Elephas maximus indicus: one gene and its partner. The protein of the gene in region 1 interacts with the protein of each later gene in a pairwise test. Links are inferred from orthologs where the notes say so. Each region holds a gene or a part of one and is shown on either strand. Other genes may lie near its edges.

The links.
Region 2: the proteins of CXCL16 (region 1) and TMEM239 interact in a two-hybrid assay, tested with the Homo sapiens proteins (2 studies listed by BioGRID). The two-hybrid records come from large-scale screens. The link is inferred for Elephas maximus indicus from reciprocal best matches to the Homo sapiens genes CXCL16 and TMEM239.

The regions. Positions count from the first base shown.
Region 1 is NC_064837.1:14,391,140-14,398,439, forward strand, and holds the start of CXCL16 (C-X-C motif chemokine 16), read right to left. Parts: upstream 3,015-7,300; 5' UTR 3,002-3,014; coding exon 2,932-3,001; intron 2,586-2,931; coding exon 2,456-2,585; intron 1,987-2,455; coding exon 1,904-1,986; intron 560-1,903; coding exon 164-559; intron 1-163. Other genes in the region: ZMYND15 (zinc finger MYND domain-containing protein 15), read left to right, coding at 3,425-3,685, 4,140-4,734, 5,163-5,397, 5,476-5,631, 5,886-6,046, 6,583-6,735, 7,067-7,147, 7,290-7,300. UniProt on the Homo sapiens protein: Acts as a scavenger receptor on macrophages, which specifically binds to OxLDL (oxidized low density lipoprotein), suggesting that it may be involved in pathophysiology such as atherogenesis. Induces a strong chemotactic response. Induces calcium mobilization.
Region 2 is NC_064843.1:41,403,405-41,410,445, forward strand, and holds the start of TMEM239 (transmembrane protein 239), read left to right. Parts: upstream 1-4,980; 5' UTR 4,981-4,991; coding exon 4,992-5,450; 3' UTR 5,451-7,041. Other genes in the region: C25H20orf141 (uncharacterized protein C20orf141 homolog), read left to right, coding at 3,628-3,893, 3,991-4,228.

The DNA of each region.
Region 1 (7,300 bases):
ACTGTGTAGCTTCTGGTTGAGTCATCCTTCAAGGCCTATGGTTCATGGTGCAGACAGCCTTAATATTTGTCTGCCTAGGTCAGCCACCTGGGAGTTACTGGGACAGGACCCCTGACAGGGAGGGTCTGGACTCCTGGGGGAGGGTGTCTGAGGTCCCCTTTACCTGGATAGTACAGCCTTGACTGCTCCCTCCTCCTCTTGCAGAGCACATAGAGGAGGACTGCAATGAGAATGAACGTGATGGCCAGGAGGGACAGCACCGGCACCATGGCTGACATCCCACCTGGAGGACCCACATTGTCTTCCAGCTGCTTCTGGTTCTCCCCAGCCTCAACTCCCAGAGTGGTGGCTTCACTGCAGTAGGTGAGACCTCTGTCCGAGGTTGGTGCTGCTGCTGGAAGGGAGGGCTGCTGGGTGGACTGCAGAGTGGATGGCAGGTATGTCAGGGCAGGCGTGCCCAAGTCTGAAGGTGCTTCATCTGTGGGCTCAGGAACCTGAGTTCTGAGGGGAGGTAAATGCTTCTGGCGGGCCTGACTTTCCCAGAGAGGACGTCCACATTCTGGAGAGGCAAGAAAGAAGGAATCAGAGATACCAGGCACAAGGTGAAGAAGCAAATAGAAGGGTAGTGAGTCAGGGAGAACATCAAGGGGACAGGTGAAGGCCAGGAGAAGAGCGGAAAGGTGGAGGACAAAGTCAGCAAACCGCAGGACTGAACCACAAACCACTGAACCATGAACAGAATAACCAGAAACCAAGAACAAGTGTACCTTCTGAACTGGTAAGTCAGGAGACCTGGTTTGAACCTTGGCTCTGCTACAAAGTAGCTGTGAGACCTTATGCTTGTCTGTTAACCTCTCTGGAACTCATTTTTTCAGCTATAAAGTGAGGATAATTTTAGTACTAAGGCCCAAGGTAGTTGAGGGAATTAAATGAGATAAAATAGGTTTGCATAGTCAAAAGGGTAGTATGCATACATACCATTAACACTAGGTGGGATGTGGGAAACTTTAGGTGGGCCATGAAAGAACGTTTTATATTTTAATGGTTGTGTGTTTATGAGAAAGATACAACTGGCACGTCAAAATTTGTGATTTCATGGCTGTTAGTGCTTAGGACAAGTTGCTATTTAAGTTTTTCAACAGTGACTTCTATACACTCAAGATTTTTTCATTGCATTGCATATAAATTTTACCTCAAAAGAAAAAAAGGAACCGTACAATACTGAACTCTAGTTAATAATACACATGCTAAGTGTTTTTGGATGAAGTATTGTAATGCCTGCAACTAATTTTGAAATGTATCAAAAAATAAGATGAAATGATGATGGACAGATAGATAGAGGTGGAATACAACAAGTTTGTTGTTGTTAGGTGTCATCGAGTCGGTTCCAGCTCATAGCGCGACCTTATGGGACAGAATAGAACTGTCCCCGGAGGGTTTCTGAGGAACGGCTGGTGGATTTGAACTGCCAACCTTTTGGTTAGCAGCTGAGCTCTTAACGACTACACCACCAGGGCTCCAAAGCAAGTTTAGTAAAATGTTAACTGTAAAATCTAGGTAATGAATACGTGGATGTTCACTGTGCAATTGTTTCCATTTTTGCATGTGTCTTTAAATTTTCCTATTAAAGATTGGGGGAACAAAAATATTGGCTTGATTTCAAGACAAATATTAAGTGAATAATAGCACTACTGGTAGGAGGAACTGGCAAAAAAAAAAAAAAGCATGAAGTTGGTGTGAAGTTTGGAAAACAGGGACTAAAGTGAAAGTACTTTGGCCAGAATCAGGAGGTTCTGGGAATGTGAGGTGTCACAAGGCAAAGAGGTGATTCAAAGAAAACTGTAAGGTGGAGTCAACTGAGCCCTGGAGGCAGAACCTGGGGAAGAAAGGGTAAGCCACTCACCTCCACTATCAAAGCAACTCATCAAATGAAGAACCCAGGGTTTGGTACTGCCCCCACACACAGTCCGGGAATGGAGCTCGAACCTAAGGAAAAAGGACCTGGTCTCAGCTAATGGCTCCTCCCTCCCAGTTCCTTCCTCATTCCAAAGGCATGAAGTCACCACCAAGAGTAAGAGCCATTTCTGCTGGGACTGGGAAGTCCCCAGGTAGGTGGGGCAGTGAAGTGTAGGAAACTGGGGCAAACATAACCCAGAAAGGGGGCTACATGTGCCCACAAGAAGTTTATCTTTGACCATAAGAGTGTCCTAGAGGTAGCTGGTGGAAATCCTGGTGGCGTAGTGGTTAAGTGCTATTGGCTGCTAACCAAAAGGTCAGCGGTGTGAATCCACCAGCTGCTCCTTGGAAACTCTATGGGGCAGTTCTGCTGTGTCCCTGTAGGGAATCAACTCCATGGCAACAGGTTTGGTTTTTTTGGTTTTTTTTTTGGTTAGAGGCACCTGGTAGGGAGGGACTGGACAGACACTGCCCTCCAAGGGGTGGGTGAGCAGATTACCTGACAAAGAGCCGACAGCATGTGTAGCCTTTAAGGTGTTTTCGGAAATGTTCCTTCTGTTCCATTGTGGGGGTAGAAATTAAACGATCACAGTAACAACTTCCAGTGACACTGCCCTCGTTGCCATCGCCTGAGCAGGACAAAAGTGGTCACACAGGTTCCCAGGCCGAGGGGCTCTCCCAGCCCTTACTTAGCCTCCAGCCCACTGCCCCATTGCACCTCTTCCCTAGACTCCTGGGCCAGACCCCCAGGTTCAACCCACATATCACTCATCCTAAAGACTCCATCATCCTACCTGGGCGCGGGTGCCTCTGTCCGCAACCCCAGGCAACTTGGCCCTCCCCTTGCCACCTTGGGGGCTCTAGCGCACCTGACTCCCAACTTATTCAACTCAACCCCCTTGCTCCAGTACTGCCCGCATGCCCCTACCACACAGTCACACACACACACATCCCTTTCCCCGGCCCTCGACGAACCTGGCAAGGTCAGTCCAGCTATCAGGAGGAGCAGGAACACGCGGAACTCGAGTTCGAGGCCCCGACACATCGCGGCACGCGCCAAAGTTTGGGGGCGCACCGTCTGACACCTAGGCGGACTCCAGCCACGCGCGGCGTCCGTCTGGTTTCCCAATGGCTTTCTCTTCCTTCCCCTGCTTGGCCGTGGGCGCCGAGTCGCGGCTGAGAAGCGGCCAGTGGCTCCCGACGCCCCGCCGTCTGAACGGACGTGCGCTCTGTCCCTCCAAGCCCGCCGGCCTCGCGGTGGGGAAACCCCGGGGGCGGAGCGCCCCGTCCCGTGGCCCAGCGCCGCCCGGGGGCCTTCACCTGGGGGCGGCCAGGAATGTCGGAATAAACCGAAAGGAAACAGGCGGCAGGACGAGGTGGGGCAGGCTGGCAGGGGCCCGCCGGGCCGATTCGGTTAGGGGGTCCTGCTGCCCGCGCGCGCCCCAGGCCGGTCCGCGGAAGCTGGGCGATGGAGAGCGACCCGTCCCAGCCTCCTCCAGCCGCCTTCACTTCCCCGCCGGGCTGCGGGCGCCGCGGGACGCAGCGCAGTCACATGGCACGGGGCAGAGGCCGAGGCCAGCCTCCCTCCCACGCACTCACCGCTCGGGCCTGGACCCGCGGACGCCACCGCCCAGGGGCGTGGCCACCGCGGAGCGGGCTGGGGGCGCGGGGGCCCTACGTCACGGCTGCCCCCCGTGGTATTTACCTTCGAAAGTGGTGGCGGCTGCAGGTACCGGAGCAGTGGGGCGGCGGGGAGGGGCTAGCTCTACCAGGGCTCAGCGTCAAACCGAGGGGATGTCCTGCCCCATTCCCTCCTCCCATACCCTACAGACAGTCAGGCAGACCCTCCCCGGTAGGATTAGCCATCCTCATCTCCACCCTCAATTCAAACCCTACTTTTGAGGATTCGAGTCCTCGAATTTTGAGCCCCAAAATTTTGAACCCTGAGTGCTCATCCTCAACCATAATCTCCCACTTTCAAGCTTCACCCCTATTCTGGTACCTGAACTCCCATCCTCAGCCCTGAAAACCCTATTCTCAGCTCCTAGCCCTCACCCGCAGATGGCTCCCCAAGCGACTCTCAAACCCAGCCCTTCCCCCGTTCGTGACCAAGCCCCAAACTCTCTTCCCACCACCCCCTCCCTCACCATATATCCCCCTTCCTCTGCTCCGTCTGGGTCCAGGCCCTGTGCCCCGAAGACATGGAGTTTGTGTCTGGATACCGGGATGAGTTCCTTGATTTCACTGCCCTCCTCTTCGGCTGGTTCCGCAAGTTTGTGGCAGAGCGAGGGGCTGTGGGGGCCAGCCTTGAGGGTCGGGGGCGGCAGCTGGAGGCTCAGATCAGAAGACTGCCCCAGGACCCTGCCCTTTGGGTGCTCCATGTCTTGCCCAACCGTAGTGTGGGTATCAGCCTGGGGCAAGGGGCAGAGCCAGGTCCTGGGTCAGGCCTGGGGGCTGCCCGGCTCCTAGGAGAGGAGCCCCCACTTCATCTTCGAGACCTCAGCCCATATGTCAGCTTTGTCAGCCTGGAGGAAGGGGAGGAGGAGGAGGAAAATGAGGAGGAGGAGAAAGGAGAGGATGAGGGTGCAGGCTCAGAGAAGGTGGAACCAGAGGAGGCTGGGGAGCCAGCCACTACCAGCAGGGAGTCCCCCCAGGAAGCAAACCCTCCAGGGGAGCCAGAGGAGGCTGAGCAGGAGGCAGGAGGTGGTGAGGATGGTTGCGGAGAGAACAGGGCAGAGGATGAAACGGGACCCGAGAAGAGGAAGGGACAGAGAAGTGGTAAGAACTCAGGGCTCGCCCTGCCCTACCTCCTGCCCAGCCAGGCTCCCTCTTCCAGAGCCCTCTCCTACCCTCCAGAACCCAGCCAGGGGTCACAAACTGATGCCCTTCAGGAGAAGTTTTCATTGACCCACGGTGTTTTTGTTTTTTTTAATTTGAGCCAACATTTAAACATTGAAAGAATAAAAATTCAGAAATCTGGATTTATACTTTTTCAAGAGAAATGTAAAATTCTGACAGCAGGCCTACATTTCTACGAGGCAGCAAATGCAGGCACTACATAGCAGCTACCGCTTCTCCATGGGGCCTGCCCTCTCCACCTCGTCCCTTTACTCACATAGGTTACTTAACTAGCCCCTGTAGGCATTTCAGTTTGGAACTCTGACCCTGACCATCTTTGCCCTGCTGCCTTTTCCCTCTTTCTCCAGAGGCTGCCCCCCTGCACCTTTCCTGCCTCTTACTGGTGACAGATGAACATGGCACCATCTTGGGCATTGACCTACTAATGGATAGAGCTCAGGGGAGTGCAGACCGGAACTCAGGAACGGAGAACCTGGCTCCTCGGGCATACGCTCTCCTGTGCCACAGCATGGCCTGCCCCATGGGATCCGGGGACCCCCGAAAGCCTCGACAGCTTACTGTGGGAGATGCCCGGCTACACCGGTATAGAAATCTGACATCTGAGGGTGGGAGGCCTGGACTCCTGAGCCCCAGCCTGACATCATCTCTGTCCCCATCCAGAGAGCTGGAGAGCCTGGTCGCAAGGTTGGGAGTGAAGTTAGCCAAAACCCCAATGCGGACATGGGGTCCCCGGCCAGGCTTTACTTTTGCCTCCCTTCGGGCTCGAACCTGCCATGTTTGTCACAAGCACAGCTTTGAAGTGAAGCTGACACCCTGGTGAGCAGCCAGCAAAAATGGAATGAGAGGGAAGAGGACCCCAATAGTCAGGCAAACAGAAAGCAGACTGGTGGGGGGCTCAGCAGGCAGACAGAGAGAAGAGTAGGGGGATGAAACAGGGACAAAAATACAACAAACAAGCTGTTACAGACAGTATACGGACAGACCAACTGCCATATGGGCAGCTTCAGGGCAGAGGGATAACAAAGGCCCTACAGTGTAGCACTAGGTGCCAGCCACCGCATGTCTCCCAGCCCCCAGTGTAGCGCTGTCTTGTACTGTGGAGAGGCTTGTCTCCTGGCCGACTGGCGGCGATGCCCAGATGATGTGAGCCACCGATTCTGGTGCCCAAAGCTTGCAGCCTTCATGGAGCGGGCGGGAGAGCTGGCAACTCTGCCTTTTACCTACACTGCAGGTACCATCCGGAAGTCAGGATGGGGCGGGGGACCAGGTCTGTGGGACTGAGACCTGAGTACCTAGGAAAGGGAACAGAGTCCTGGTATTGAAGGCTATGTCCTGGGGGCTGGGGTCTAGATCCCTGGAATAAGGACCTGGTGCTGTGTATGGGGCTGGGGGCTAGATCCCTGGGGCTGGAGACAGGGTCTCTGGAGCTGAGGACTGAGTGCCAGGGTTCCTGAGAGCTTAGGGGACCCCAGGATAGGGATTCAAACACTTGCTCCCTTCCCAGCTCCATCACTGGTGCTGTGACCTTACACAAATCACTTTCTTTCTCTAAGCCTCCACTTCCTCATCTGCAAAACAGGGATACAAAGAAATGTTAAAACCCTAGGAATTGTTATAAGGATAACATGGGCTCAGTGCCTGGTCCACTGTAGTTCCCTGCCTAATGAGAGCCAGACTCAGACCCGGGGTCCTCAGGGGAGGCTGAGGAGAGCTAAAGCCTGGGGTCCTAGCCACCAGGTCTTCAACCCCTCCCTCCTCCTTCTCCAGAGGTGACCAGTGAAACTTTTAACAAGGAGGCCTTCCTGGCCTCTCGGGGCCTCACTCGTGGCTACTGGACCCAGCTCAGCATGCTGATTCCAGGCCCCGGAATGCCCAGACGCCCCAGGGGCCACACTCCATCCCTCAGCCTTCTTCTCAGCGGTGCGTGGGGCCTCTCTTCACGCATGGCCCCTCAGCCCATGGCCCCTCAGCCTAGAGGGAAGTTGTCCAGGTCCTAGATAACCCCTCCACACTCATACCAATCCCCTTCCCTCCACCACCTTCCAAGGCCATTACAGGCCTTTCCCCAACCCTGGAAGAAGTTGCTCCTGCCTACCCCATCCAGAATCCTCTTCCCCAGGCAAGCCCCCATTCCACTTGCTGCAGCTCCAGGCCATCTCACAGGGGACACGGCTCTTTGGAAGGAAGAGGTGGATGGGCCAGGTGGGGGGCTCACTGACACCATACCCCCCTCTTCCTTTCATTCTCTCAGGGGATCCTTACCAGCTTCTCCAGGGGGATGGGCCTACCTTGATGCCTCCTGTGCCCCCAGATCCACCCAGGAGTCTCTTTGGTGAGTTGGAGGGGCCCTGAGGGAGCTAGGGGCAGGGACAGGGGCTGGGGGGCCAGAAGCCTAGGTCCCTAAGAAAAAGGGGGCCATTATTAGTCTGAGCAGTTGGGGTCTGGGCCTGGCGCCAGGTCCCCCTGTAACCCAGTCTCCCCAGGC
Region 2 (7,041 bases), on another chromosome or scaffold:
ATGGCAACAGTAGACGTGGACCTCACCAGATGGGATTTACAGGAATCAAATTGACTACATCTGTGGAAAGAGACTATGGAAAAAATCAATATCATCAGTCAGAACAAGGCCGGGGCCAACTGCAGAACAGACCATCAATTGCTTATATGCAATTCAAGTTGAAGCTGAAGAAAATTAGAACAAGTCCACTAGAGCCAAAGTATGACCCTGAGTATATCCCACCTCAATTTAGAGACCATCTCTAGAATAGATTTGAAGGGTTGAACACTAATGACCAAAGGCTGGACAAGTTGTAGAATGACATCAAGGACATCATACATGAAGAAAACAAGAGGTCAATAAAAACACAGGAAAGAAAGAAAAGACCAAAACGGATGTCGGAAGAGACTCTGAAATTTGCTCTTGAATGTAGAGTAGTTAAAGGGAATGGAAGAAATGATGAAGTAAAAGAGCTGAACAGATTTCAAAGGGCAGCTCGAGAAGACAAAGTAAAGTATTATGATGACATGTGCAAAGACCTAGAGTTAGAAAATCAAAAGAGGAGAACACACTCGGTATTTCTCAAGCTGGAAGAACTGAAGAAAAAATTCAAACCTCAAGTTGCAGTAGTAATGGATTTTATGGACAAAATATTGAATGATGCAGGAAGTTTCAAAAGAAGATGGAGGGAAAACAGTCACTGTACCAAAAAGAATTGGTCGACGTTCAATCATTTCAGGAGGTAGCATATGATCAAGTACCAAAGGAAGAAGTCCAAGCTGCACTGAAGGCGCTGGTGAAAAACAAGGCTCCAGGAATTGACAGAATACCAGTGGAGATGTTTCAACCAACAGATGCAGCGCTGGAAGTGCTCACTTGTCTATGCCAAGAAATTTGAAAGAGAGCTTACCTGGCCAACTGACTGAAAGAGATCTATATTTATGCCTATTCCAAAGAAAGGTGATTCAACCGAATGTGGAAATTATCGAACAATATCATTTATATCACACACAAGTAAATTTTTGCTGAGGATCATTCAAAAGTGGTTACAGCAGTATATCTACAGGGAACTGCCAGAAATTCAAGCTGGATTCAGAAGAGGACAAAAAACCAGGAACACTACTGCCGATATCAGATGGATCCTGGCTGAAAGCAGAGAATACCAGAAAGATGTTTACCTGTGTTTTTTTTGATTATGCAAAGGTATTCGACTGTGTGGATCATAACAAGTCATGGATAACATTGCCAAGAATGGGAGTTTCAGAACACTTAATTGTGCTCATGAGGAACTAGATCAAGAGGTAGTCATTGGAACAGAACGGAGAGAGACCACATGGTTTAAAGTCAGGAAAGGTGCGTATCAGGGTTGTGTCCTTTCACCTCGCATATTCAATCTGTATGCTGAGCAAATAATCCAAGAAGCTGGCCTATATGAAGAAGAACGGGGCATAAGGACTGGAGTAAGACTCATTAACAACTTCCATTATACAGATGACACAACCTTGCTTACTGAAAGTTAAGAGGACTTGAAGCACTTACTGATGAAGATCAAAGACCACAGCATTCAATATGGATTACATCTCAACATAAAACCAAAAAATCCAAACCCACTGCCATTGAGTCGATTCCTGACTCATATCAACCCTATTGGACAGAGAAGAACTGCCCCATAGAGTTTCCAAGGAGTGCCTGGCAGATTCGAACTGCCGATCTCTTGGTTAGAAGCTGTAGTACTTAACCACTACACCACCAGGGTTTCCCCTCAACATAAAGGAAACAAAGATCCTCACACCTGGACCAATAAGCAGCAGCACGATAAACGGAGAATAAACTGAAGTTGTCAAGGATTTCATTTTACTTGGATCCACAATCAACATCCATGGAAGCAGCAGTCAAGAAATCAAAAGACACATTGCACTGGGCAAATCTGCAGCAAAAGACCTCTTCCAAGTGTTAAAAAGCAAAGATGTCACTTTGAGGACTAAGGTGTGCCTGACCCAAGCCATGGTGTTTTCAATTGTCTTGCATGCATGTGAAAGCTCGACAGTGAATAAGGAAGACCAAAGAAGAATTGACACCTTTGAGTTATGGTGTTGGCAAAGAATGCTGAATATACCATGGACTGCCAAAAGAACGAACAAATCTGTATTGGAAGAAGTACAGCCAGAATGCTCCTTAGAAGGGAGGGTGGTGAGACTTCATCTCACATACTTTGGACGTGAAGGACCAGTTCCTAGAGAAGGACACCGTGCTTGGTGAAGTAGAGGGTCAGTGAAAAAGAGGAAGTCTCTCAACAAGATGGATTGACACAGTGGCTGCAACGATGGGCCCAAGCATAATAACGATCATGAGGTTGGCACAGGACCGGGCAATGTTTCGTTCTGTTGTACATAGGGCCGCTATGAGTCGGAACTGACTTGATGGCACCTAACAACAATTATGACCCATTTCCACTCTTGCCTCTCAAGTCACTGAACTGAGACATGCTGGAACTTCTGCAGCCACCACTCATTTACAGACTATCAGTGGGGACAGATTTCTTTTCTAGGTGACCGATCCCGTCATTAAACAAACAAACAAAAAACCCATTGCCATTGAGCCAATTCCAACTCATAATGACCCTATAGGACAGAGTAGAACTGCCCCATAGTGTTTTCAAGGCTGCAATCTTTATGGAGGCAGACTGCCACATCTTTTCCCCGGGAGTGCCTGGTGGTTTCCAACTGCTGATCTTTCAGTTAGCAGCAGAGTGCTTAACTGCTGCACCACCAGGGCCCCTTGATCCCTTCATTGCATGTTGATTTTCCTTAATATTCTCAGAAGGTAACCTTAGCCTCCAGTTTAGGGGGTTACTATGTTGTACCCCTCCTACACTCACATCCTCTATTCCATTTCTGGGACCCTTTCTCCAGAACACCTCCCGCACACTGTAGTGCTTAGAACACATGAACTGCCCCCTCCTGCCCCTACCCCATTTAGCAGGTCATGTGGGAGCTCAGCCCCAGAAAGCCTTAGGCTGCTTCCTGGCAGAGTTTCTTTGTCTTCCAGAGCTGTAGCCCTGGCAAATCCCCCCAAGAGCCCACAGGCATCACCCACTCTCAGGGGAGAGACATGGGGACAGAGAATTTGCATGACTTGCCCCTGGACACACAGTTCTGGGAACTCACAGGAAGACAGTAGCCCTCCCTTTTCTCCCCTGGCCTAGTGCCCATGCAGTAATGGGGTAAGAATGTCTTCCCGAGAACTCAGATCCCCAAGAGAGGTCCCTGGGGCAAAGGGTTAGCAAGGCAAGGAGGGTGAGTTTTAGTTCTCAGAAATCACTGATTTCTGGCCAAGAGCCACCTAGGCTTTCCCAGCTGCTTATGAGGCCAGAACTAGGCAGCAGCCTCCTCCCTCTCCCAGGGCTCCGCCTGGCAGCAGGTCACAATGGCCCAGCTTCCCAGTCTCCGAATTGCTGGCCAGGTGGGAGGAGGTAAGGAGGGTTCAGTGGGTGGGTGTGGGGGGAGGGGGAGGTTCATGCCCAATTAAAGCCCAATTTCCCACTCTCGGAGCTCATCTTTGAGAGTCTGCTAGGGCCCCACCCCTGCCCACACCCCCACCCCTGACATTCCCTCCCAGCACTAACCCTTCCTGTCACCACATCCCTCCATGACCGGGCTCTGCTTATCCGGGCCCCAAGCCCTGGCAGGTCCGATTCCAGTCTCTCCCAGGCACCTGGATGCTGGAAAGGGGTCAGGCAGTCCAGTGGGTCCAAGTGTGTTCCTCTGGGGCCCTAGCCTGGCCCACCTCCTGGACAGTGCCCTAGGGCTGGTGGCCCTGGGGCTGGCAATTCGAGCAGTCCTTTTCACAGCTGTACCAGCGCTGCTGCTGCTGCTGCTACTGGTCAATTTCCTTGCCTTTGATCTGCTCCACGGGTAAGTGGCCAGGCGGCCTGGCAGGTGGGGAGACATGTAGGCAGGTGGACAAGTGGTCAACCTTTCTGAGCCCTGCTGCCTCCCTCTTTCTTCACAGGCCCACAGCTCCCACCCTGCTGCAGCACAGGCCTCTGGCAGGGGGCCCGAGTCAGGGAGCCGGTGAAGGTCCAGGACAGCAGGGGGCTCTGCTTCTGACACCGGTCGCAGTCATAAGACAAGTCAGTCTCCAAGATGCGCTTCTACTGCTGCTTTTGGGCCTGGGTCTGCTCCTGGGGGCCCAGGGCATGCCCCTGGCCCTGCTTGGCCTGGCTTTCTGCCTCCACCCTTGGGTCTGAACGCTTTCCCAAAACACTGCGTGCCCTCCCAAAATACACTGGCTATCCTGCTTCCTCGGGCCTCCTTTCCTTCATCTTGGGCTGGGCAGGAGGGAGGTGCCCCTTATCCCGAGCCTGAACCTCCAGGAAGCCCTGGCCCCACAATGTGGGCAGTGGACATCTAGGTCTGATCTGGGGGCCCAGCTGGGGAGAGAAGGTGAGGGATAGTATGATGAGAGACAGGGAGCCCGGGGCAGGAGGTGGCACTGATCTCAGCCTGCAGGTTGGAGGTGGGCATATCGCCCCCTCTGTGGTTCAAGAGAATGACAGTCTAGAGAGAAAGACCTGCAAGAAAGTGGGTGTGGGGCTGAATATCAGGCAGCAGGGAAGGGTCGGGGACCCAGGAAGGGCTTCCTCACAAGAAAGTATTAGACACTGCAGCCAAGGGCTCATTTGGCTCCCCTGCCTGCCTGGAGGGTCCACAGTGGCTCCTCTCTTGGCTGGACCCCACCCCGGACCCGGGTCACAATAGGGCTCCTCTGGGGAGGGTGGGGGTGGGCAAGACTGGGGCCTCGGATCTAGCTACTGGGCTGTCCTGGGCACTGCAGGAAGCAACATGACTTAGGTGGCTCTGCCCAGAGGTAAGTCCCGGGCCCCAGCTCACTGCCCTATCCCAACCACATTGGTGCCTTCCTGAGCCCCATGCCCCTACCTACCTGAGGTAGCAAGCCTCTGCAGGGCTGCTCCTGCAACTGGCCCGGCCCTCTCCCCAGGTGCACCAGCCATGATGCAGCAGCCGCGAGTGGACACAGATGCCATCGGGGCCGGTGAGGGGCTGCAGCCTGTGGCGCCCTGGTCGGCCTGGGTCTCGCGGCAGGGTTGGGCGCGCTGGTGGGCATGCCATGTGCCTCGGAGCTGGGCCCAGTGGTGGGCCACATCCAGCTGGCGGCAACCACTGCAACGTGTGCTATGGGGCCTTGAGGGGATGCTTTACCTGCTGCTGGCGCTGATGCTGTGCCACGCTCTCTTCACCACTGGCTCCCACCTGCTAAGCTCCCTGTGGCCTGTTGTGGCTGCAGCGTGGCGCCACCTGCTGCCTGCCATCCTGCTGCTGGTGCTCAGTGCCCTCCCCGCCATGCTCTTCACCGCCTCCTTCCTGCTGCTTTTCTCCACACTGCTGAGCCTTGTGGGTCTCCTTGCTTCCATGTCTCACACTGGCCACACTCAGGACTTGGACCAATAGAAGGCAACCCCATCCCGCTGCCTGTGTCTGTTGAGCCCAGGCCTAGGGCCTGAGGCCTGGGGAGAGGGAGGGCAGTGGGACCAGGACCTTATAGCCTCAGCAGGCCCCAGCACCCCAGATGCTAGCATGGGGCCGAAACTTGTGTAGTGTTTCTGGAGCTGACAGGACAGACTGGCCTGATCTCTAGTGCCTGCCTCAAGTTGATGCCTCAGGTACCTGGTGTGGGGAGACAGTGACTTTGAGAGGAGGGGATAGGGCAGAAGGCTTAAGCGGGGGCAGAGCTTGGCCAAGCCATTGAGGGTTCCCATGTGGATGTGGTGACACTACTGGGTGCCCCTTGGCAACTGGCAGCATTTTCTTGCAACTGCTCAGCTTTCTCAGCCTCAGACCTCACCTAGAACTTCCACCTGGCTACCCCTGGACTCTCCATTTTCTCCCACCAATGCTTCTTCCCACTTTCAGAGGTGCCACAGATCAGGAGAGAGCCTCACTGATAGAAGTCTAGTGGGAGAGGAACTGGCAGAAACCCCCCTGAGACCTCAACTCACCTTCTAGACCTTTCCACCCAGGCATCCCCTGTTTCCTAGACTTCCTTTTCTCCTGTTTCAGTCTACATCCCCAGGTCTGGGAAATGAGCCAACTAGGGTAGTGAGGTTCCCAGAGAGTAGCTACTCACTTGTTAAGACTCTCCAGGCCTGTTGTGGAAAAACAAATAAGTCCCATTTTACGCATCTACACAATGTGTAACCTTGGCCAATTAATTTCCTTGAGTCTCAGTGTTAAATGGGTCCCAACCCTATCATGGGGTTGTTGTGAGTCAAAGGCAATGCCTATCTGTGAAGTGCTTTGTGAAGACCAGAAAACTGTAAGATATTGTTTTGAACACTAAGAACATTCTGTAGCCTCAAAGAGTCTTTTGGGCCTGAAGGCCCTTGAAAAGCAGGTAGCTTCCCTGGGCTTTCAGAGGAATGCTCTGTTATAGATAGAATTTTGGCTCTAAGATGGTAAATGGATGGGTGTGGACAAGATACGAAAAGGCCACGTGCCATGAAATCTCAAAAGTGTGCAGATGCAAGACTCTTCTGACGGTGAAATGCTTGGGGCTGGGACTTGGTGCCAAGAGATGCTTATACAGCTGTGTGAATAGGGAAAGCTAGCTCATGGGTTCCCAAAACTGATCCAGGAAAGTTCTAAACCAAGAGGGCCTTGGAAGGTGCCATTCCTTGGTGCCCTGGATCCTGGCCATTCACTTATCATCTAACCCCTCCAAACAAAACATTGAGTGATTAGTTATTACCAAGTAAGATATATGACAGACAACCTTACCCACAGCTGAGACCCACCCACCTGACCCCCATCCCACTCCTAACTCCCACCCAATCTTTGACCCTGAAATGATTCCCAACCTCTGTCCACCCCCAATCCATTCTCCTTCTCAGCCCCAGCCCAGTCCTGACCCCCACCTTATATCTAACCTTAAAATCCCTGCTCCTGCAGCCCTAAGCCCAAAGTCCCCCTCTCCTGCTCCCTAAATACTTAAGCCCTGAGGAATAATCCCTCCAACCCTATCGAATACCTGGTTTCATCTTTG